2 linked regions of the Astyanax mexicanus genome follow. The protein of the gene in region 2 binds, or shares a complex with, the protein of the main gene of each other region. Links are inferred from orthologs where the notes say so. Each region holds a gene or a part of one and is shown on either strand. Other genes may lie near its edges.

What was found.
Region 1: the proteins of dhdds (region 2) and nus1 are in contact, whole or in part, in a crystal structure (PDB 7PAX), measured with the Homo sapiens proteins. The link is inferred for Astyanax mexicanus from reciprocal best matches to the Homo sapiens genes DHDDS and NUS1. Residues at the interface, in NP_995583.1 of Homo sapiens: Arg37, Arg38, Glu81, Asn82, Lys84, Arg85, Arg159, His160, Ile162, Ser163, Val166, Arg167, Met169, Ala170, Trp171, Val173, Glu174, Pro180, Ser181, Ile183, Ser184, Glu185, Leu188, His199, Glu209, Val210, Arg211, Leu212, Ser213, Asp214; in NP_612468.1 of Homo sapiens: His137, Gln138, Pro193, Glu194, Lys197, Ala198, Ile200, Val201, Ala204, Gln205, Phe207, Cys208, Gln209, Val211, Ala212, Arg217, Pro218, Thr219, Leu221, Asp222, Val223, Leu226, Asp237, Pro246, Val247, Asp248, Ser249, Thr250, Leu251, Gly252.

Annotation. Positions count from the first base shown.
Region 1 is NC_064408.1:80,419,097-80,432,047, reverse strand, and holds the start of nus1 (dehydrodolichyl diphosphate synthase complex subunit nus1), read right to left. Parts: upstream 5,080-12,951; 5' UTR 4,905-5,079; coding exon 4,562-4,904; intron 1,741-4,561; coding exon 1,618-1,740; intron 277-1,617; coding exon 124-276; intron 1-123. Other genes in the region: nephrocan-like, read right to left, coding at 7,651-8,053, 8,887-9,788, 10,975-11,169. UniProt on the Homo sapiens protein: With DHDDS, forms the dehydrodolichyl diphosphate synthase (DDS) complex, an essential component of the dolichol monophosphate (Dol-P) biosynthetic machinery.
Region 2 is NC_064408.1:119,799,512-119,812,285, forward strand, and holds the start of dhdds (dehydrodolichyl diphosphate synthase complex subunit DHDDS), read right to left. Parts: upstream 5,575-12,774; 5' UTR 5,443-5,574; intron 3,463-5,442; 5' UTR 3,449-3,462; coding exon 3,386-3,448; intron 3,279-3,385; coding exon 3,162-3,278; intron 2,048-3,161; coding exon 1,905-2,047; intron 495-1,904; coding exon 378-494; intron 1-377. UniProt on the Homo sapiens protein: With NUS1, forms the dehydrodolichyl diphosphate synthase (DDS) complex, an essential component of the dolichol monophosphate (Dol-P) biosynthetic machinery.

The sequences.
Region 1 (12,951 bases), about 39 Mb from region 2:
TTTAAGAAAGTATTTAATACTAATGAACAGGGTTTAATGTTTAACAACAGATAATAAATGTTTGTGTGACCAATGTTTAAAAGAACTCAAGCACTGCCGGTCAGCAGGTTAGTGGCCACTCACCTCGCAGTAAAGAGTCCAGCACAGTGACGTCAATGTCTTTGGATGTCCTCTCTTTCTTCTCCACAGCCTTACACAGCTGCTGTGCTGCCTGTACAATACGGAGCTTCCCATCATCTGGAGACAACACCTTCACCACCGTCTGACACAACAGCGCTGAACACACACACACAAACCAGTCAGCCAGTTAGAATAGCTTAGTTTAATCAGTGCCATAATATCTGCTCAAAGATAATCATACATTTCAACTTCTTTATTCATTACTGAACCAATGGTGTGTTTTCAGTAGAACAAATAAAGTCAATAATAATAGATCTGTATACAGAGAAACACTTAAAACTGTGTGCTGCTCTAGTTTTAAACAAACAAAAAAAAGAAGAATCTCAAATAATTCCACAGAACAAAATTAGGCTCAAGAATAAACCCTTAAAAATCTTTACAGCAATAAATCTCTTTGAGGAGGGCAGTTCTCTGTGGTACTGAAATGTTTAACTGTACAAATAATCCAACACATATTTTTAAATAAATAATTAATTAACTATACAATCACATCTAGCTTTGATGGAAAGCAGATTTATTAGCGCAAAACCTAATACGCTCTATATAAGAGAAAAAAATATATATATACTAACGTGACATCCCAACATTACACCTTCAGGAGCTTTTGTCATCACATTCCAAATCTGTATAAGAATTTATATGGAGCTGGTCTGCCCCTTTGCAGTACCTTTATTACCCATGCATTCTTATGTATTTTGTCAGCAGTGGATATGCATAAGTCATCTGTAAACCAGATAATGTAGCATTATATTTCTGCGGTTTAATAAATGTGCTATGAAATAATTAACATTTTTAGTTGCAGTTTTATTTGTTAAAATTTTTTCATGTTAAAATGTTCTACAAACCGATTTCAGTTTATATCTTAATTTATTCTTGTTTAGTTTCTGTTTAGTTAGTAAAGTACTCCTATTTTACACCAGTATAACGTACAATAACTACAGTCTAATATCCAGTCTTATAATTCAATATTACAAATTATATATGATACCCATAAATAAATTACATAAAAATATAATAATTGGCTATATTGTGCATTCCTAACCTTGTGGGGCATTTTTAGCGCTTCTCTGCTCTAAAAACATACTCACTTCAAATTGTTCGAATACATTTGTACACAAGCCAGCAAAATGTCCTAGAACTAGTCTAAATTCTTGACTGTATATTTAGTATAAATCATTTCTATGCAAAAACACATTTTTTTTTTGGTCATTTTTCTAAAACTTTGCTAAAAAGCTGTAGTATGTATGACTGTATGTAACAATTAAAACATTTGCCTATGCCGGATAGGGCACACCTGGAGCAGGATGGGTAATAACTGATAAAGAGTAATTATAAACGAGGTGAAGTGTGTCAGAACAGGTGCTTCAGGTCAGCTTTTCTGGCATAACCTGTCTGTATACTCCCACTGAGAAGTCTGAGAAGGGTGTGAATGCTCACCGTGTGGATCTGTTCCATTGTTTAGGAATTCCAGTGAGTACTTGCAGCTTTCTGAGCCCAGGAGCTCCTGTTGCTGCTTCATAATCTCCTCCATTAGCCTGGAGTTATTCCTCCTGAAGACACCTTCAAACAAAAAAAAAGGGGTCAGTCACTGCTGTAACATTCCCACAGCAATCTACTTTCAACCAATTAGCTCAGATAAAACAGTTTATATTGTCCCCACCAGAACAGTGTACAACAGAATGCAACAGTTTAAATGGATGCTGCTTTTCAGCCTATGGTCAAAATGCCCAATACCAAGAGTCTGCTAGCATATAAATCTGTGATGTATCAGTTATGAGACAGACCTTCCTAGAGCAAGCAAAGGTGAGAAATTCTTTATTATTTCCTTAAAAAAAAAATTCTACACTGTAATGCTTGGCCTGGGGACAAACTTAGACACAGAACTTGATGAGGAAGCAACCATGCTCAGTTTTAATTATAACCTCTCATGAGTCACACAGCGAGTCCAAATCAGTCTCTCTCGTGATGATAAAACCTCCACCTGACTGATATGTCACACTTATGTATGCTAGACAACACGGCACTGAGTACTGCATCCACACTGAGCGTTAAGGGTTGCTTAATCCGGGTTAAAGGTAATCCAGCCTGCAAAGCACTCTATACCACCCCACCCACCCGGGTCATTGAGAAATATCCCAGGAGGGATTTAACTAGGCCAAGATGGAATAACTGGAAACTAGGAAAATAGGGAAGAAAAAGAAAAAGAAAGCCTTTCATACAATGACTCAAAAGCTCTTAAGCACTTGGTTTATTTATAATTATAACACAATTATACCATTAAACCACTTTTTATATAGAACTGTATATACCCAACATAACCAATAAAGTTATGTGAAGTAACCTACTACTCTTAAAAAGCTATTGTCATATGGATATGATCAGGTTTTAAACCTGAGCCCACCTGGATGGAACATTAACATACAAATAAAAAAAATCTACTAAAGGTTTTAGCTTCCTACAAATTAGCTGAAACATGAAGTACTAGTGTAAATCAATTTAAAATCCTTTATGAATGTGTTTTTCGGCTTCACATACCAAAAAAAAAAACGATTTAAAATGAAGTAACTATAGTTTTAAGCGAATCATAACTATGCCCATGCAGTTTTACAATATTAATTATGTGTAAATCATCCTTAGATCTACAAATAGACTTAGCCATTTGTGGATTTTTGGATATGAGGTGGATGATGAGCCATAAACAGAACATCACAATACACAAAACATCACCAAATTTCTCTTTGAAGCAAAACTGGGAAACGCATGTCAGCAGATACCCATACTGACATTATGCAAAGATGTTTTTCAGTTTAATATATTTAGAGACCCATGTGACAAACCATGATATAAGTTCATAAATGTGTGAAATTTCCAGTTATCAATCAGTTTTTGTACACTTCAATCACATGATCAAGGACCTAAAAATACAGTGTGTCATTTCCTGGCTCCTACAGATTTTTTTTGTGGAAGCACACTTCCTGTCTGGTTAATGATTACAGCAAAGAGCAAGATTACTTTGCATTGGTCCAATCAAAAACACTTTGTACTCAGGATAAACCTATAACTATGAGGAGAACACTATTAAATCTCTATAGTATTATTTTTTAATCTGATACTTGAGTTTAGATATTTGTTGACCTCCAGAAAAAGAAAAAGTTTAGATGACTTTTCAGAATAGTCACTGCAGTGTGCACATGTGAAATAAGGTAGAATGTTAGGTGCAGAGTCAAATTACATAATTTACAGACTTACAGAACTGCTATATTCACTGTGCTAACCCCGATAGAACCCATAATAATCAATACTTTAATAACTGCATCTAAATACACATAGTGTGGATTGCAGTAGGTAAAAAAGTATATAAGGGTATGAATGATTTTGTTATGCTATATTATTATCATCATCATTACATCAATGGCATTAAACAGTCTTAAAATGACTATTACGTTTATCACAATCACCATGATACATCGTCCACAAAATACTGTTATTGTGAAAAGTAACATACAGTTCTAGAAAAAATGAAGAGAACACTTCAGGTTCTAAATCAGTTTCTCTGATTTTGTTACGTATAGGTATGTGTTCGAGTAAAATTAACGGTTTTATTCTATAAACTAGACATTCCATCCCAAGTCCCAAAAAAATATTATCATTTAGATCATTTATTTGCAGAAAATGAGAAATGACTGGAATAAAAGTGATGCAGAGCTTTTAGACCTCAAATAATGTAAAGAAAACAAATTCCTATTCATTACGTTTTAAGAGTTCAGAAATCAATATTTGGTGGCATAACCCTGTTTTTTTCATTACAGTTATCATGCATCTTGGCATGTTCTCCGTCACCAGTCTTACACACTGCTTTTGGATACCTTTATGCCACTCCTGGTGCAAAAATTCAAGCAGTTCAGTTTGGTTTGGTGGCTTGTGATCATCCATCGTTCTCTTGATTATATTCCAGAGGTTTTCAATTCAGTAAAATCAAAAACTCATATTTTTTAAGTGATAAAGCTGTATATTAACATAATCCAGTTCTACTTTTCCTTGCATGGCACTTTTTTCCCACTGGCATTACAAAGTTACTCAACTTCTATCCAGACTAATTTCAGTATGGTATGGACCCTGGTATGGACCCTGTTATAATGTTTTTAGAACTAGTTTAAGCCTTTTTACAGGATGTTTAAAGATCACAGGTGTAGATTTCATTAAGAGGGAAGCAGAGAAAACCACAAGCTGAAGTCTGGTGACTGTAGTGCATGTGATTCACCGGGTCACAGACTTCCCTATATTCATTCATATATTTATTAATTCATTCATTAATTAATAACATATGTGTATTATTTTTTTGTATCTGTGTTTGTATCTACATTCAGTGTCCGGGTCTTACCTTCATTATCATACACGCTGACATATGAGATGCCCACCGCCATGCACCACACCACCAGGTTGGCTATGTCCGTGTACTGCTGCTCCTCCTCGGCCACCAGTAAGCCCACGTGAAGGGGCAGCTTCTCCAGAGCCTTGCCGTCCGCTACCCAGCGGACCCGGCGGGGTTTGGCGGTCTTCTTCTGGGTGCTGAAGCCCAGAGCTCCGGGCAGCCGCAGCGCGGCTCTCCTGCACAGCCGCCCGCCTCGCCTCCAGACGCGGCCTCGGATCCAGGCGGCGGCCGCTCTCTGGAGCTGCAGCAGGCAGTGCAGGAGCCGCCACACCAACTCGTACAACAGCGCCATGATTCGGGCTCTGATAGGACCGCACGTCTGTCAGGAGCTCAGCAGACCCCGCATGCTAAGGGCTTCCGGACAGCTCGCTCATAAACGCCGCTCCGACAAGCGCCAACGCCACAGGCTGCCGGCTGCCATTCCTCAGCCTTTCCACTTTGAACCCGCTGTGTTACATGGAGCTCTCTGATTGGACGAGGCGCGCAAAGATCCTACAGCACCACAGCGAGAGGGTTCACTCTGAGAGAGTCACTCTCACGTGACCTCCTGTTACGCCCAGTGCTGAGAGGACGACACTGATCTACTGTATATACTGCTCTTGGAAAAAAAAAAGAGACCACGATAATAATAACAAAATAATAAGTTTCTCTGATTTTACTATTTATAAGTATAGGTTTGAATAAAAACTATTGTTTTTCCTCCAAAATTCAAATAAAAATAATGTCAGTTAGAGCATTCATTTGCAGAAAATGTGAAATTACTGATATTAACAAAAAAGATGCAGATGTTGTTTTATTCTATAAATTACGGACAACATTTCTCCCAAATTAAATAAAAATAATGTCATTTAGAGCATTTATTTGCAGAAAATGAGAAATTACTGATATTAACAAAAAAAGATGCAGAGCTTTTTTTTCCCCACCAGTCTTACACACTGCTTTTGGATAACTTTATGCCACTCCTGGTGCAAAAACTCAAGCAGTTCAGCTTGTTTTGTTGGGTTGTGATCATACCTCTTCCTCTCGATTGAATTTCAGAGGTTTTCAATTTGGTAAAATAAAAGAAATTCATCATTTTAAGCGGTCTCTTATTTTTCCAGAGCTGTATATAAATTACAACTCTGGATAAAATTAAGAGACCACTTCAGTTTTGAATCAGTTTCTTTAATTTTGCTAATTATAGGTATATGTTTGAATAAAATGAACATTTTCCAGAGCTGTATATCAGGGCTGTTAACATTAAGGCATTAACGCACACAAATAATTTGAAATCAGTAACGTATTATTATTTTTTTAACACAATTAATTGTGCCTAACAATAGACCATTAAAGTCATGTTGTCATTTTGTAGCCATTATGCCCATGTTTGGGGTTCCTCGTCTCAGAGGTTTAGGTCTATGAAAAATTTGAATGGGCTTGACTGGCCTCTGTCACATCCTGTAATAAATTAATATGTTTAGAACCCTGTACGTTTTACTCTGTGTACATTTACCTAAATATTACTGGATCCTCTGAATTTCGAGACCGTTTAATGGTAGTAATTAGAAAAATGCTAGCTTTAAGCTAATGCTTAACTGATATCACAGCACAACGGCAGCAGACCCGATTCTGCAGTACACCAGCTAACTCTGGCCAGATCGCGTTTAAGATTATTCTTCTCCTTCACAGATGATCATTAAAGTTCACTGGTGTTGCGCTGGAAAGATTCCTCTAGCAATCTCTGCAGCTGTGCTGGGACATCAGTTCACTCTGCTGTAGCATTAGCTTCAAGCTAGCATTTTTCTCATTACGACTCCTAAACTATCTCGAAATTCAAAGAATCCAGTGTTTAAGGAGGTAAATGTGCACAGAATAAAACGTACAGGATTCAGAACATATTTATTTACCACAGAATGTGACAGGTGATTTTTTTGAAAAGCCCATTCATTTTCCTCATAGAGAAAAACCGCTTAGACATGGAAGCCATACAGAATGACCCATGACTTCAGTGGTCTATTAAGTAAAAAAAAGTTTCCTCTATCCATTTTTTCATGTAATCTCTTGATTTCAGCGCCCCACATTAAATGATCTGAATGATATATCCTAAACTCGCCCTTGAACTGATACCAAAGGTACTGACTGAAGGAAGCTTCGTAAATCCAGAGAAGGTTTTCAGGTTTTCCTGCTTTCCCATTATACTGGGAATGTTTTGATGGAGAAGTTGTGTCCACAGTTGAATGCCGGTCAGCAATAGATTTAGCTGAAATTGAGCAATTAAGCAATATCTGGAGGTGTAGAATTAATACAATGTTCATTATTAATATTGTTATATTACATCCAAAAAGTATTCTGCAACGTTTCCAAGTAATTTCAATAATTAATCAGTGTAATTAAGAAATAATAACTATAGCTCACAATGTTAAGTGTGTGTGTACTGACAGTTAAAGGTGAGGGCAAAATTCCACAAATATAGGATTTAATCTAACTTATGAAATATGAGGCATTAGTAAATTAAGAGGTACATTTATTGACTTTATAACCTAACTTTATGCTTGATGTTCTAAACCATTTAGAAAGTCTGACGTCTCTGTTCAAAATTGTGACAGACTTTCCCCTGAACAGGACTGAAGACACACGGTGTCACTGAAAGCTATTCGAGTACTAACAGCTCCCCCTTGTGGACAATTGTGATAGACTGAGTAAGTGAGTGAGTGAGTAAGTGAGTGTGAGTGAGTGAGTGAGTGAAAAAAAAAAGAAATGTTATGTTGTCTTAAAGGCAGAGACAGAGACACAGATGTAATGTTCAGTGGTCGTTCAATAGTGTCCTTTGACTGTAGCAATAAACAGCAAATCAAGAAATTCTTTTTGTACTTCTATAATTACACATAATAAACACTGTACACTAATAGACACTGTACAGGATATTCAATATTCACATTTCTGTGTGCATTAGACTAAAACAGGTGTTGTGTAGGAATGGATGATGCATTTATTATGTTTAAATCAACACAAAAAGCATAATCCATGGAAAATCAAAAACAGATGGCAAATTATTAACTTTACAAAAGATCGTAATCATAGTAGTCCTCATTGTCTGTGGGTTCAGTCTGGCTCTCTGGTAATGACTCTTCAGTCTCCTCACACTTCTCCTGTGTCAGTACATACGCCTGCCAAATGTCCACTGATGTCTGAACAGCCTCAGTGCAGAAATCAGAGCTTATATCGACGTCTCTCGCCTGCAGAGACCTCTTGACCTTGAACAGGTCACAGCTGCAGTTCCAGGGGTTTCCGTCAACATACAGCGTCCTCAGTTTGGGCAGCAGGTTCATAGCAGGCAGCGATGAGAGCCTGTTGTTGCGCAGATTCAACACCTGGAGCCGCTTCAGAGACTTTAGTTCATGCTCCTTAATCATGGCTATATTGTTCCCCTTCAAATCCAAGCGAACCAGGGTTTCAGGAAGCCTGTTGAGATATGCATATGCACAAGAATATTTAACAATCAGATTTAGGGCTGGACGATATGGCCAAAAAATTATTACACAATATATTTCTTAATTTCAGTTGATACACTATATTACCTGCATTGTAATGAACAATAAAAAAACTGCAAAAAAAACTGCAAAGAACACACACACAGTATGCCTGTACCTAATTATGTGCCATGTCAATTTATGTAGAGCACCCTGTAATGATTGTCAGCCAGTGACAGATGCTGTGAATAATAAACAGTGACGTGATCCGTGCTTTTGTTTTACATCCAGAATGCCTTGTATCATTTTGTTAATAATGTCCTGCAACCAGTGTCCCTACCTTTTCTAAATGCAACCCTCTGCTGCACTGTTGCAACAGGACAATGCTTGTCCACACACTGCTGCCGTCTTAAGAGCCTGCCTTTAGGACACAGATACTATGCGAAAGCATATGCAATGCGAAAGCCATATGACACCCTTTAATTCAAGAAACAGAATATGGCATCTTTCATGATGGCGGCCATGTTCTGGACATACCCTAATAGTCACCCTACCCACCCATTACTTGCTGGGACAGTCAGATATGTCATTTTTCTTTTCGTTAAAGGGTGTTCTGCAACTTTTGACATACCAAATAAATCTACTGTGCATTTGAAAAAAAAAAATCCTAATAACCTTAATCTTCTATCCAAATAGCATCACAATCAGATACTTTCTTCTGTGTCTAACGTTTTCTTTAATAATGCATCTATTTTAATATTAAATTATTGTCCAGTTCTTATCAGACTACATTAACCTTAGTATAAAACACAGATGTAACTGTACCTGTTTGGAAACGTGGAGAGCAGGTTCTTCTCTAAAGCCAGGTTAGTCAGGTGAGCACAGTGCCTCAGAGCATTGCTCTCAAAGTGTCGGATGGTGTTGTTCTCCAGAAAAAGATGGCGCAGTTGCTTCAGTCCAGATAGCTGCTGATGGCTCACTTCCTGGATGTGATTCTGCCCACAATCAAGCTTCTCCAGTTTGGCTGATAGCCGCCCGGGCAGCACACGCAGCTGGTTTCCTACCAGCTCCAGCACACTCAGACTGGGCAGGCGAAGGCCTCCATCCACCGACACCAGCCTGTTGTAGCAGGCAGTCAGCGTAACCAGATCACGCAACTGAGCCAAATCACGACTTTTTAAACTTCTTAATTGGTTCCTGTCCAAGCTGAGGTTAAGCAGAGCTTGAGGAAGGTCATGAGGCACCTTAGTCAAAAGGTTAGAGGACAGGTCTAATGTTTTAAGAAGCTGCAGTGATGAGAAGAAAGCTGAAGGCAGTGAATGGATTTTGTTGTTTGCTAAGCTTAACTGAGTCAGCATTGGCAACCTGAGGGCACCTTGCACGGCCTCGAGTTTATTACCCTCCAGATATAGTTCCTCCAGCACAGTGAGAGCTAAGAAAGTACTGGAGCGTAAAGTAGTGATGAGGTTATTCTGGAGGTTCAGGAGGCGGAGTTTCTTTAGACCCTGCAAGGTGGACTCCTGCAATGTCTGGATCCTGTTGTGACCCAGGTGAAGGCTCTCCAGGCTGGAGGGCAGGCCACGAGGAATGTTCCTCAGTTTGTTCTTTTGGAGATCCAGAGTTTTTAAAAGCCTCTGGGCCCTAAAAACATTACCCTCTAGCTGCTCCACTCCACAGGAAGACAGGATGATCTCTTCAAGACTTTGCAAACCCGACAAATCTCGATTCTAAGAGAAAAGGAAAAAAGAAAAAAGGCTCTTTAAAATAGCCCAGTATAACACAAAGTCAGGAATCACATTTGTTTCAATAGGTTTGGGTCCTGCTTATCCTTACACACCTGATGTAGATCAGGTTATTGGATATTTGTTAATTAATTAGTTGCATCAGGTGTGCTGGATGAGGGACAGCACAAAAAAAAAACACACACAGTGTGGGCTCTATTTACTCATTTCATTAACATTTCACAGCAACAACAAGTATTTAATTATCAAATCAAAATAAGTACAGCATAACAATCAATGTAGTCCATTAAATTACGTAATATGCTCAAAATTGCTCAAAAACCTCATGAAGAACAGCACTAATATAAATGTAAAAACCTCCAACAACACCATCCAAAATTCAATGTTTTTCTTTTTGCAAAAAAACTGACATTCAAATTAATTGGAACAACAGCTCCCAGAAGTAACACTGCAGCTTTCAGCTTGAAAAACACTGCATTAAACGATTGCTTTATTACGCAGTTATTGATAGTGATACATCTTATGCATTAACTGCCCTAACTAATTGTTAACTGCTTTCAAAATATGATGTACACCATGTAGATATGGGTGTGGAAAACCTATAATGCTGGTTTACCAAACTAAGAATAAAGCTATTTTTAATTAGACAAAACTAGAACCTAAAAGATAAAAGTATCTGAATATATCAATTATAATAAACAGTTATAATTGACTTAAATGTATAATATGAGAGCAATCTTCAAATATCTGGTTTATTTATTAATTGGGTGCATGGGTCAGTAGGACAATATTACAATGACATCACAATGCCAATAATACAATAATTTTTTTTAAACAAACACAATTTGGAACAGAAAATATTTTCTAAATCTGAGGAAACATATAAAACATATTGTACACTACAAGCTTAATTTCAAAAGGTAGATTTACTAAACCAACAAAACGCAAACATACTTATCATTAAAATTAAAAATGAAAAACTCAAAATTAATCCTACATAACAGTTTATATAATACTGAATAAAATGTAGAGAGAAAAAAATTTGTGCCAGATGTGAATCATTGTGGAGTATGCCTTATTTAAAACACTCCAAATAAGTAATACAGAAAACAAGAGAATGTTGCTAAACAGGTGCAAATGAGATGGATCTGGAGTAAAAAAGAACAGTTACCTTGATCTCCTTAATGTGGTTGTATCCCAGGTTAAGTTTTCTCACATCTCTCGGGATGCCTGAGGGCATGGACTGTACCCTGAAACACTGCACTGATCCGGTTTGTTCACAGACGCATTTCTCTGGACACACTTGGCTGCAGAGCGAGAGGAGAGGGAAGAGCAGGGTGTAAATGAGAATGTGAAGTGTCCGCATTGTGTAGATGACCGGGGCTGCCTTGGTGCTGAAGCAGCATTTTGAAGACCTGTGGCTTAAATAGCTCAGCGACTGGGGCTCTGCTGAGTGTAGGCCTTCTCCGCTTTATTGGGAACAATGGCCTAGATCACTATCTGTGTTGGAAAACACTGACAAGGAACTGGCAAAGCAGTCACAGATTGTCCTGTCTGTCCGCAGATGTGAGAACCTTGGTGATAACCTGTTTACAGCCCATTCTAGACAACAAATGCAGTTTCCTCTGCTTAAATACTTTTAGCAGATACTTTGTCTCTTCGTTCCTCTCTTTGAGTACTCTGTTTTTTTTTGGAGATGGATGTTGCTGGTGTGTCTGTCACAGAGGACACTTTATGGGTTGATTATTTCAACCCATATCAAACCTAATTCAATAATAAATAATGAGAGATATAGGGGCCATTTCACAGACATGCATTAAGTCTAGTCATAGACTACAGTATATTTATCTTTTAATTCCTGTTTTGCCAGGAGGTAATAAAGTTAATAAAGTAATAAAGTTAATAAAGTGATCGGTATGTGCAGATGGTGAGTACAGTTATTAAAAAGATAGAAATGATAGGGTTAGATAAATGCACAGAAGAGCACAGGCTCATTTGATGATTCTCTGTTTATCTGTTAGTTGAGATCCAAAACAGCTCACATAACTATTTTAATAAATTGAATTTGTAAATACTGTCAAACGTTCCAACATCCAGTGCAAAGCCTTCACAGAAATGTAATGGTTGTTTCTGCAAAATTGGGGTCTGGGAACTCTCCTTATCAACACTGTTTATTACAAACATTTAAACATTAAGTGCACACCATTTATATGGGTGAGCAGATCTGACACCTCCCACCAAAAAAAAAAACTCATTTACTCTTATCAGACCACAAGGACAGAACAGTATAAACATCAGGTCAAGGTGAAATGCCCCTTTATTGCCACCAAGGACATGGGGGGTGTGGGGTACTCCTAAAATGTGTTTCTCTGGAATTGGTTTCACTCACCAAATGGGTATTGCTTCACTATACACATATATTTTTGTTTGTATGTTTGTCTGTTTTGTGTTGTAATGCAGTATGCCCTCAATCCAAGCAAAATTTCTCCTTGGGAGATAAATAAAGAAACTATGACTATGACTATTTGTGGCCACAATTTAAAGTATGTTTAAGTTAAGTAAGCTAAAGTAAAAACTAAATGATGCAGTGGTATAAAGCCATTTTTATCTGTTAACCATGGGGTGGATCAATCAAGTTTTGGGCTTGTGATGCAGCCAGTGTAACAGGGAGCATTTGACTGGTAATATAATTTGACTGGGAAAATGGATATAATTAACAATTGAAATTAAAATCTGGAATTAATCACACCTTCTGTAAAAACAAAAGCTGTTGAGAAAAAGAGAATTACTTTTACAACATGATTCTAAACACATCTCAAAATCCACAAAGGCTCTCACAGCACTTAAAATTCAACAAACATCTGTAAACAGGTGTCAGAAAAGCAGTTCATGTAAGACAGCCCCTGAATCTCCCAAAACTAGAAGCTTTTAACAACAAGGAAGAATGAGCAAACACCCATCAATGAAGAACTGAAAATCTCTTACCTGCTACAAATATTGTTTACTGTGATGACTTCTTATATCTGCTATAAGAAGGATACTGTCTGCACAGAAAAATCTTAAAATCATGAAAATCTTTGCAGTACAAAACTGTATTTTGTTTTTTATTATTAATTTTGGTTAACTTTTCAAAGGAAGTCTCATTGTT
Region 2 (12,774 bases):
GCACTGCAACCATTACAGATACCACAGCAACCACCTTAGAACATTATTCAAATATTCAATATTCACTGTATACCTGTAACTCTACCTCTTCACTACTTTATAACTGATGCTCTCAAACACTTTATTAAGAGACAAGAAATTTAACAAGTAATTAACTCTTGATGAGTTCAGCACAGCTGTTAACTGAAAGCCTGAATTCCAGGTGACTCTACCACATAACACTGACTGAGAAAATTCAGCAGAGATGTGCAAACATGTCTCTATCTAGGCAAGAGGTGCTAGTTTGAAGTGCACAGGGTATAAAGGCCAGTAGGTAGAAGGAGTCAGGAATTTGGAGGTGCTTTACTCCCAGAAGGGCAGGATGATGGTGTTCTTACTTGTTATGTGCTCTGGTCGACACCACAGCTTTTGCGATGTGCCGCTGCAGATCTTCTGGCAGTAATGTGAGGTCTCCCAGCACCCGGATACAAACGCCATGCTTCTCCAGGTTCTCTCTTAAAACACACACAAACACATGAACACACTATAAACCGTAAATAAACTTCTTATAATTAGTTTTGTGCCAGTTCACATTTAAAATGAACCAGTTCAAAGCTCAGTTTATACTTGTTTAATTGAACTAGTTCATGTTCATAATTTATTTTAAAAAAGTTCAAAGTTCCAAAAATTAACTAGCACATGTTAATTTGACCCCACCCCACTAAATAAACTGCTATTAATATACTTAATATACATATTTTTTTAAGTTTTTAAACTCATGTTATAAACTTTTAAAACTCAGAGCTCTGCCTGTGAGTTCAATCAGCTTATGGTAGCAGTAATGCAGCATCCTAAAACCTGTTTACTGTAGAAAAACTGAAATATAATGGTAAGTTGGCTTTTTTTTTTTTTTTTTTATCAAAATAGATCATTTTACTTTCCAAAATATAGGAATATCCTGTCCAATATTTTCTATTTTTAATTTAAGTATTTAGCTGTTCAAATAATATGAATATGAACACTGGTCACAATACAAACTACATACTTCAACTACATTTATAGATTTAAAGACTTATAGATTTACTACAGAAACTATGTTACACATTTATCATTTAATTTAGAGATCACAGCTACATAATTACAAGTTTAAAACTGTATTGACTGATTTACCAATATAATAAATCAAAGGTGCGTGTGATGTCTCATATTACATGTTCCAAAAAAAAAAAACTTAACATGTTTCCAATGCCATTAAGTGGAGGAAATGTTACTAGAAGTACTATTGTACAAGATAAGGAGACTGGTTTTATTGTTTATTCATTATTATATGAATATAGTGCATAACGCAGCTTCATTACTAGGCGACTAGTGGTGGCCCGTAGGTGGCACTACTGAGCGCAAAAGCGCAAAAGTTCAGCAACCTAACTGCTGCTGATTACCTAGTTAACTTTAGGGTTTATCGTATGTCTTCAGAAAGGGGACAGATGGTGCAGCAATGACTTATTATGGTTCGTTCTTTAATGTGTAGCTGAAATTAGCTTTGATTATATTGTATTTTTCCAGTCTGAACAGTCTCTGCCATCTGTTGCACTAATTAGGGAGGAAGAGGAAAGTTAGCTAGTTAGCTAGATACAGAAATGAACAATTTCTTTCACTTATTATGAAGAAAAATGGTCATAAAACACTGATACTACACATTAAACTATGGTAATATAGTGGTTATTGTAATTTTGAACAGGGTTTCTTTTGTGGCTTGTGCCACTGCCATCTTGTCAGTGATTCTCATAGTGCTCTGTTTTGAGTGTTCCTCTGAAAACTTTCAGTTTAAAGGTTAATGTAGCCCTCAACACTACCCCCTAACACTTAACAGAGGAATAGGGCTTAGGGGTGAAATGGGATTGGGCCTTTTTTGCCAGGTGACTCACTGTTCGTCCAGCAGGCGGAGGAACTTCTCCTTTGCGAGCTCCATCAGGCCGCCCACCTCCTCTTTAGAGCGCTTGAAGTTCTCTATGCTAAAGGCGTAAACGGTCACCTCGTGGATGCCCAGGTTCAAACACCAGCGTAGTGTCTAAGAGAGTTAAACAGAATACCAACTAAATACTGTCAGTCACTCTTATAACACTGTAATTGGAGTCACAAAAATTCTTGAGACTTGATAATAAAACACAGTGGATCAACACCAGCAGATGACATGTCTCTCCAAACCATCACTGATTGGTGGAAACTTCACACTAGACCTCGAGCAGTTTGGACTGTGTGTCTCTCCACTCTTCCTCCAGACTCTGCTCCCTTGATTTACAAATGAAATGTAAAATTTACTGATGATCAGTGATGGTTTGGAGAGTCATGTCTGTCATCTGCTGGTGTTGATCCACTGTGTTTTATTATCAAGTCTAAAGTCAGTGCAGTTTTGTTTTCCTACAAAATCTTACAGCACTTCATGCTTCCTTCTGATGACAACTTTTATGGAGATGAGGATTTCATTTTCCAGCAGGACTTGGCACACTGCCCACACTGGCAATAATATTCAAATTTTCTGAGACACTGATTTTTGGGTTTTCAATGACTGTAAGCCATAATTGTCAACAATAAAAGAAATAAATGTTTAAAATAGATCACTCTGTGTTTAATACATCTATATAATATACTGTATGGGTTTTTACATTTTGAACTGAATTACTGAAATAAAGTAAAAAAAAAAAAACTTTTCAACTATATTTTAATTCTTTTAGATGCACTAGTATACCGATATATTGTCCCACCCAAATTAAGGCAGCATGCTTACTTTCTCCTAGCAGCATTTTTGATGCCTAATGTGTCGGTTTAAATGAGGCATGGGTAATTTTGGTCCTGAGAGGATGGATTTTCAAGCTTTTCAAGTTTAAACACACCTGCTAAAAGTTCAGCAGAACTTTGCTGGACTCCAGACCCGATTCCCCACCCCTGGATTAAGTGTGTCACTACAGCAACACTGCAATTTCCTTTGGGATCAGTCAGCTTCTATTCTATGTACGTCTCAAAAGACATTTGTGTACAAATCACATGATTGTAATACCAGAATAAAACCACTAGAGGCCAATGCTGTGAACCTCACGATCACTATCGAAGGAAATTGCCTTATGAAATCTGCATCTAAACCTAAAGCCATAAACATTAAAGGTCATATTTGAAGTCATACTCACTTCAGCCAGCTTGTCAAAGCCCTGTGTGTGGCCCTCCTGCCTCTCCACATGTCTCTTCTGGGCATAGCGTCTATTGCCATCCATAATGAAGGCCACATGCTTGGGCATGGGCCCTGCCTGTGAAAAACAAATACAGTGAGGTAAAGAAGAAAAAGACAAAAAAATAGACCTCAGGGTTAAAAGTTACAAGTGTGGACTGACCAGTGATATAAAATCTAAGTTACCTTTAGGACATTGGCAGTGAGCCTCTCCAGTAGGCTTAGTTCACCTTCCCTGATCCACGACATCTGAGCTTGCTGGTCTAAAAGTAAAAGGATAAAATTAATTACTTAAAATTTAAAATGAAGCACATTCATTATTGTATATTGTCACGATTAAGCAAAAAAAAATGGTAAACTTATGGTAAACTATGTTAATCTGTACACATTGCATTAAAATGTAATAATGAATTGATCAATAAACAGTCCTTCCTCTGTAAAGCTGTTTTTGTTCTTGATGGTGATGAAACACACAGTACAGCTTATTCTAGCCCTGGCTGTACTCTTTCTGTCACAATTGCCTCACTCTCATTCCACTTCTTATTCCCATTCTTTCTATGTCTGTTTTTTTGTCTCTTCTCTCTTGTCTCTCTATGTCTGTTATAGGTGAGCAAGCATAACACAATATGTACACAAAACATAACAGACATAACATTAAAACCACTGAAGGCTCAATCTCAACTGCTCCCCTGCTCTCTTTAGAGTTCATTAAGCTACATAACCAATATGAACAAGTTAGACCAAACAGGTTGACCAGCACAACCAGCAAAGTCAAGGTTGACCAGAATGAACAGAAAAAGTCATGATTGATAAGCATGACCAGCAAAGCCAAGCTGGTTGACCAGCACGACCAGAAAATGCCATGGTTGACATGACCAGCACAAACAGCATCACCAAGCTAGACAACCAATATTAACAAATTTGACCAAACTGGTTAACCAATACAACCAGCAAAGGCAAGCTAGACAACCAGCATGAACGAGTATGACCAAGCAGGTTGACCAGCACAACCACCATGACCAGCATCACCAAGCTAGACAACCAGTATGAACAGATTTGACCAAGCAGGTTGACCAGCACAACCAGCAAAGCCAAGCTGGTTGACCACCATGACCAGCATCACCAAGCTAGGTGACCAGTATGAACAAATTAGAACAAACTGATTGACAGCAAAGCCAAGGTTGACCAGCATGACCAGAAAAAGCCATGGTTGGCATAACCAGCAAAGCAATGCTTGTTGACCAGCACAAAATAACATCACCAAACTAGACAAATAGTATGACCAAGCTTAACCAAAATGGTTAACCAGCACAACCAGCAAATTAAGGCTAACCAGCATAACCAGCATTACCAAGCTAGACAGGCAGAGCAGAGGGAAGCATAGGGAAGTATAAAGTGTTATAAGATTTTCCGGGAAAACACGGCATTGACTTTAGACTTGATAGAACATAGTGGATCAACACCAGCAGATGACATGTCTTTCCAAACCATTAATGATTGGTGGAAACTTCACACTAGACCTCAAGCAGCTTGGACTGTGTGTCTCTCCACTCTTCCTCCAGACTCTGATCCCTTGATTTCCAAATAAAATGTAGAAATTACTGATGATCAGTGATGGTTTGGAGAGACATTTCATCTGCTGGTGTTGGTCCACTGTTTAATATCAAGTCCAAAATCTTACAGCACTTCATGCTTCCCTCTGCTGGCAACTTTTATGGAGATGCAGATTTCATTTTCCAGCAGGACTTGGCACACTGTCCACACTGTCCATTAGACTGAATCTTTTCATTTCATTGGCTGTAAGCCATAATCGTCAACAATAAAGAAAAAAAACATGTAGTTTCACATTTTGAACTAAATTACTGAAATAAATTAGCTATTTAACGCACTAATATACATATATATCTATTAAATATTAACATAACACAACATTTCTTAAGCTTCACATTGCAGCAGCAAGTCTACACAGGTCATTCAGCTACAAAACAAGCCCCTTTCCACCACACCAGACCACTGCAAGCCCAAAACAGATCTTAAGGTTATTTTAACAGCTGAAAACTCGTATCACACATATATAACGTTAGCTAGTTTATATAGTGAGTTTTAGCTGATATTAGAGCTAGGCTAGCATTTATATAGGGCTGTTTAAATGGTTAGCTGCTAAGCTAAGCTAATGTAGGCTAAGCTAAGCTAATAAATGTGTGTAGAGCCCTGTAAACACCCAGACCAGCGAACAGACCGACCTTAAACACCCTCAGACCCCGAGTTTAATTCAGACACAGCCCTGTAACTGTAACCCTGCTGATTAAACAGCAGCTCCAGATCCCCAGCTCCAACTCACAGCCTGCTGACGACCTCTTCCTCCGACCGGAAATGACGACACAGCGACGGTGCGCGTGCCTGCCTTCACAATAAAATTCAACAAAAAACTAAAGATCTAAATAAAACACTTTTTAACCGGGATTATCTCCTAAAGCGTGTATTAAAGAAATAAAAAAATATTTAGTGGCGAAAAATACAGAAATTAACCTGTATCCATCCATGAAGTTGAAGTTTGTTTTCATACGTTCCGTTCCACCTTAAATCAGGCTTCTGCTGTACTTTTTTTTAAGGTGGAACGGATAATTCCTATTAGTAGACATGTTTAGCTTTAAAACAGTTTCATATTCATATGTTTTCACATAAAAATCGAATCAAAATAGAATTAAGTTTACTAATATATACAGCTCTGAAAAAAAAAATCAGTTTCTGAATTAGTTTCTCTGATTTTGCTATTTATAGGTTTAATGTTTGAGTAAAATGAACATTATTGTTTTATTCTATAAACTACAGACAGCATTTCTCCCAAATTTCAAATAAAAATATTGTCACTTAGAGCATTTATCTGCAGAAAATGAGAAATGGATGAAATAACACAAAATATTCAGAGCTTTCAGACCTCAAATGATGCAAAGTACGTTCATATTCATAAAGTTTTAAGAGTTCAGACATCAATATTTAGTGGAATAGCCCTGGTTTTTAATCACAGTTTTCATGTATCTTGGCATCATGTTCTCCTCCACCAGTCTTACACACTGCTTTTGGATAACTTTATGCAGCTCTGGTATTTATAGCATTTTTTACAAGTAAACATCACAAAAACAGTCCCATCCAGGGACTGTGTACATTCTCTTACTTGTTGTCCTGTTTTTTTATGGGCACCAGATACTAGGTTGTGAGCACCACATACTAAAGGGCAGTTTATACTCCTGCATCAAACCTACAGCTGCTAAAAAAGTATGTGGACCCTTTGGGACTATTTGGATTTCTGCTTTCTGTGTTCTGATCTTCATCTAAGTCACAACAATAGACAAACACAGTCTGCTTAAACCAGTACCACACAAAATATGTTTATGTATATGTTTGCATGGTTTTATTGAACACAACATGTTAATATTCACAGTGAGGGTGGAAAAAGTATGTAAACCTTCAGATTTAATAACTGATTGATCCTCCTTTGGCAGCAAAAACCTCAAAGGAACGTTTCCTGTAGTTGCAGATCAGACCTGCAGAACAGTCAGGAGGAATTTTGGATCATTCCTCTTCACTAAACTGTTTCAGTTCAGCTATAATATTCTTGGGATATCTGGTGTGAATCGCTCTCTTGAGGTCATGATGTCACAGAATCTTAATTGAGTTCAGGAGGTCAGGACTCTCCAGAAGGCGTATTTTCTTCTGTTGAATCAATTTGGTTTTGATTTACTTCTATGTTTTGGGTCATTGTTCTGTTGCATCATCCATCCTCTGTTGAGATTTAGTTGGCGGACAGATGGTCTTAAGTTCTCCTGCAAAATGTCTTGTGTAACTTGGGAATTCATTTTTCCGTTGATGATGGTAATCCGTCCAGACCCTGAGGCAGCAAAGCAGCCCTTAACCATGATGCCCCCTCCACCATGTTTCACAGTTGGGATGAGGTTTTGATGATGGTGTGATGTGCCTTTTTTCTCCACACACAGCGTTGTGTGTTCCTTCCAAACAACTCAATTTTGGTTTCATCTGTCCACAGTATATTTAGCCAGTACTGCTGTGGAACATCCAGGCAAACTTCTAGCGTGCAGGAATAGTTTTTTTTTTACAGCAGTGGCTTCCTCCATGGTGTCCTCCCATGAACTCCATTCTAGTTTAATGTTTCTCTTATTGTAGATTTGTCAACAAAAATGCATGTGCCCATTGGCGTAGGAACCGGGGGGGATTAGAAACAGGTGGATTTGTCCCCCCCAAAAATGAAATAGTTTCGCTCAGCTCAGTCGTACTGTTAATGAAGAGACCGACCGCTAAGCGCTGGGAAACCAATCACGGTGCCGGTTCAGGGAGAAAGTCCCGCCTTTCAGGAGAAACAGCCAATCAGCTCGCTGGTCTTGCGAGAAGAGTTAGCGTGCTGGTGGAGGAGAAGCCCCTCCCCCTCGCTGTGAGATTTAGAAGCGGTGTCCAGCATCAGCTGGTGTTGAAGTAAATCTGGATATACGGCGATTTTTCTAAGAGGTAACGGAGTTTACCATGTGGCCTGTGTTGAGATTATTTCTGATAGCTGGTTAAAAAGACTCTCCAAATCAAAACACACAGATTAAACCCACCGTGTGATAATAAACTGCAGCTGTGTTAGTCAGTTAGCTTAACTTTGGAATTAGCTAGACAGGGAGTCAAGGCTTAAAAAAAATATATATGTTATGTTCAGCTTGCCCTGATCAGCTAATCACTATTTCATTTTCAAATTGTGTTTATTAATTTAGGATTGCAGGACTTACTGTAAGCTATAGTAAACGAAAAAATAGTTAGCTAGAAGCCAGATGTAGTGGATAGTCAGAATTTAGTACAGTACTTTATGTTGGTAGTTTAAAGCAGTTTATTAACCCTGATCTCTGCCCTAAAATTGTGTGTTTCTACCAGATCCAACTGATTTGCTAATAAACAGTCCTTTACTGAGTTTACCTGTTTAAATCCTTTTCATTATGTATGTCAGCAGTGTATTAGACACATCATACCTCCACTTACTTTATTAAGTGACTTTAAAGCAGAGTAGGCAGTGGGGATATGCAGTAGAATGTGTAGGAACAGGGTTGAGAAACACTGCTCTAACCTGACTTCTGTTTATTTGTAGTTCACAGTAAGACTAAATCCTGAGTAAATAGAGGGATTCCAGGTGAATCCAAATGTTTTTTTCTTTAGTCTAATATTTATATTAACTTCTGTCAAAAATCTCTATGAAACGTAAAGTTACATTCTTTTTTCAAAAAAGGACACCATCATAAGAAGTGCTTTCAGTAGAAACAACTAAAAGCGCAGATGATAACTGATCAGTTTTTGTCATATATGTATATAATTCAGACATTTCACGCATATTTGTTTAAATGTAATGTGGAGTAACATGGTGGTTGTAAAGTCACCTTTACTTGGATGTAACTAATAATAAACAGAGTACAGAAAAAAGGGATTATTTGTGATTAAAAGTAATTCCTATGTTGTTCTAAGAAACTATATGGGCTTTGGTGCATTAGCAAAAGTGTCCCCCCCAATATCAAACCCGCTCCTACGCCCTTGCATGTGCCAGAGATTTATGGAAGTCTTTAGCTGACACTGGATTCTTCCTCACCTCATTGATCATTTTTTCCAAGTTTTTCACTCACATGTACACCTGTACTCTGTGACGTGACAATAAAAATCTTGAATCTTGAATCTTGAATTCTGCGCTGTGCTCTTGCAGTCATCTTTACAGGCCTTTACCACGCCTAGGGAGAGTAGCAACAGTGCTGAACTTTCTCCATTTGTAGACTGTCTGTATTACCGTGGACACATGAACATCAAGGCTTTTAGAGATATTTTGTAACCCTTTCCAGCTTCATGTAGGTCAACAATTCTTGAACGTAGGTCTTCTGAGAGCTCTTTTGTGCGAGGCATGCTTCAAATCAAGCAATGCCTCTTATACAGCAAACTCAAAACTGGTGTGTGTTTTTATAGGGCAGGGCAGCTTTAACCAACACATCCAATCTCATGGCATAGGTTTGATGCAGAAGTATAAATTGGCCTTAAGTGGTGAAAAACGGATATTAAGTGGTGAGCACCAGACACTAAGTGGTGAGCACCAAATACTAAATGGTGAGCACCACATACTAAGTGGTGAGTACCACATACTAAGTGGTAAGCGCCAGATACTAAGTGGTGAGCACCAGTACATGACTTCATAGACTACATAGATGTTGTACTGTGCACATGCTTTGCAATCCTCCATACTTTCATCATGGAAGGGGGGGTTATGAATATGAACTGTCTGGGAAGCTGCCTCATAGACATGCTTCTTTGCTTATTTTTGTGTATAGTGTCTATAGTCACATCTTGGCAAGTGGTAACTTAACTGCAGTTTAAGAAACCCATCAGGTAGATAGCTAGATTGCTAGATTTCTTAGCTAATGCAAGCTAGTTAAAAAGCAAACCTGTAGCAAACAGGAGATAATTGTAGCTAGCAAGCTATAGTTTAAACTAACAGACAACTTCAAAGACTTACAATAATCTGCCTTGCTGAGTTATTTTTTTACAGTCAGCTAGGTTAGGTAACATTAACTACTTTATTGTGTGGAATGTTTTAGCTAGGTAGCTAATAAAGATCTGTCAACTGTGGCATTATGCCAATTCTTAGGCCAGACACCTACTGACCACTGTAACCCATATGGCCCATGCCCACAGGTGCTTCCAATTGGAAGGAACCAGAAGCTAAAAACAAGTGTTAATTGCAACAGCATAATAAGTTATTTGGCAATGACAGAGAAGATTTGGCAATTTTTTCATGGGCACAACCCATATTCTCAGCTATGCTGCTCATCAGTCGAATATATGTTCCTTTTAAAGGTGACATAATTCAAAAGAGAAATTAACAGACTTTTTCATTGGTATTATGGTCAGGAAGCATTGTTACAAATTGAAATAATCTACCAAACAGAAATGTTCTTACTTTTTGTGCTATGTGCCCTAAAATTGAAAATTCGAATAGCTTGGTGATGCTGATCAGGCTGGTGGAATAGCTTGGTGATGCTGATCAGGCTGATGGAATAGCTTGATGATGCTGATCAGGCTGGTGGAATAGCTTGGTGATTCTGATCAGGCAGGTGGAATAGCTTGGAGATGCTGATCAGACTGGTGGAATAGCTTGGTGATGCTGATCAGGCTGGTGGAATAGCTTGATGATGCTGATTAGACTGGTGGAATAGCTTGGTGGTGCTGATCAGGCTGGTGGAACAGCTTGATGATGCTGATCAGACTGGTGGAATAGCTTGGTGAAGCTGATCAGGCTGTTGGAATAGCTTTGTGATGCTGATCATTTTGGTGAAATAGCTTGGTGATGCTGATGAGGCTGGTGGAATAGCTTGGTGAAGCTGATCAGGCTGTTGGAATAGCTTTGTGATGCTGATCATTGTGGTGAAATAGCTTGGTGATGCTGATGAGGCTGGTGGAATAGCTTGGTGATGCTAATCAGGCTGGTGGAATAGCTTGGTGATGCTGATCAGACTGGTGGAATAGCTTGGTGATGCTGATGAGGCTGGTGGAATAGCTTGGTGATGCTGATGAGGCTGGTGGAATAGCTTGGTGATGCTAATCAGGCTGGTGGAATAGCTTGGTGATGCTGATGAGGCTGGTGGAATAGCTTGGTGATGCTGATCAGGCTGGTGGAATAGCTTGGTGATGCTGATCAGACTGGTGGAATAGCTTGGTGATGCTGATCAGGCTGGTGGAATAGCTGGTCAGGCTGGTGGAATAGCTTGGTGATGCTGATCAGGCTGGTGGAATAGCTTGGTGATGCGGATCAGGCTGGTGGAATAGCTTGATGATGCTGATCAGGCTGGTGGAATAGCTTGGTGATGCTGATCAGGCTGGTGGAATAGCTTGGTGATGCTGATCAGACTGGTGGAATAGCTTGGTGATGCTGATCAGGCTGGTGGAATAGCTGGTCAGGCTGGTGGAATAGCTTGGTGATGCTGATCAGGCTGGTGGAATAGCTTGGTGATGCGGATCAGGCTGGTGGAATAGCTTGATGATGCTGATCAGGCTGGTGGAATAGCTTGGTGATGCTGATCAGGCTGGTGGAATAGCTTGGTGATGCTGATCAGGCTGGTGAAATAGCTGGTCAGGCTGGTGGAATAGCTGGTGATGCTGATCAGGCTGGTGGAATAGCTTGGTGATGCGGATCAGGCTGGTGGAATAGCTTGGTGATGCTGATGAGGCTGGTGGAATAGCTTGGTGATGCTAATCAGGCTGGTGGAATAGCTTGGTGATGCTGATCAGGCTGGTGGAATAGCTGGTCAGGCTGGTGGAATAGCTTGGTGATGCTGATCAGGCTGGTGGAATAGCTTGGTGAAGCTGATCAGGCTGGTGGAATAGCTTGGTGATGCTGATCAGGCTGGTGAGAAATTAAGTTTATAGGATTTACAGAAAGTGTGAAATAAATCTTTGAACAAAATTAGGCAGGTGCATAAATTTGGGCCTGAACAGAAAAAATACATCAATATTTAGACAATCCTCCTTTTGCAGAAGTAACAGCCTCTAAACACTTCCTATATCTTCCAATAAGAGTCTGGCTTCTGGCTGAAGGTATTTTGGATCATTCTTCTTTACAAATAATTTCCAGTTCAGTCAAGTTTGATGGTTTCTGATCATAAACAGCTCGCTTTAAATCACAGCACAGATTTTTAATAGTATTCATGTCTGGGGACTGAGATAATCACTCCAGAACATTGTACTTGATCCTCTGCATGAATGTTTTAGTAGATTTTGAGCAGTGTTTAGGGTCAGAATACGTCTACAGAAGTATTTTTTAAACCAAAAATATTTAATGGGCCATTCCACCGAATGTATGTCATTTCTGTTTGACTAAGGAGCTCAATCTCAACACTCTGTCCCGTTATCTAAAATAATTCTTAAATCTTATTTGTTTATTTTTAAAATACAAATTTTGGGAAGATCACTAAAATGTGCTCAGTGTCCTTATGCTATTTGCATAGCCGCCATTTAGCTATTTTTCTTGTTTTTGCTAATTCTATGATAACTCAAAACATAAAAAAGTAATAGGAATCAGTGCCATTAATAGGATTGATTTTTTTGTCATAAAAAATATCTATTTGAACATGCAGTCAACCATTTCTTTAATATATAATCTTTCTTGAGAGAGAATCAAAGGAATTAGTGGACTTGCTTTTAAACATGCTTTTTAAATGTCACATAAGTTTTGTAATCACCTTTAGCTTAGAAACCTTGTAAACAATTAAGTAAATCTGAAAAAAAAAAGTTTTACCAGTACATGTTTTAAATAGTTAAATACATGTGTTATTAGAGTTGAAAAAAATATTACAAATAAGCTTAATTTGAGTTACAACAAGCAAATGGCACCCTAATACCCTAATCTGAGTAAAGAATGTGATGCTTTAAGCAGTTTTGTTTTCAACCCAAACTTTTGCACTCCTGTGTAAATAGCTCATTTAGTATAATTCATGTATATCAAGAATACTAGTAAATCTTGGATATATAAATAGATTTTTCGAGGTTAACGAGTT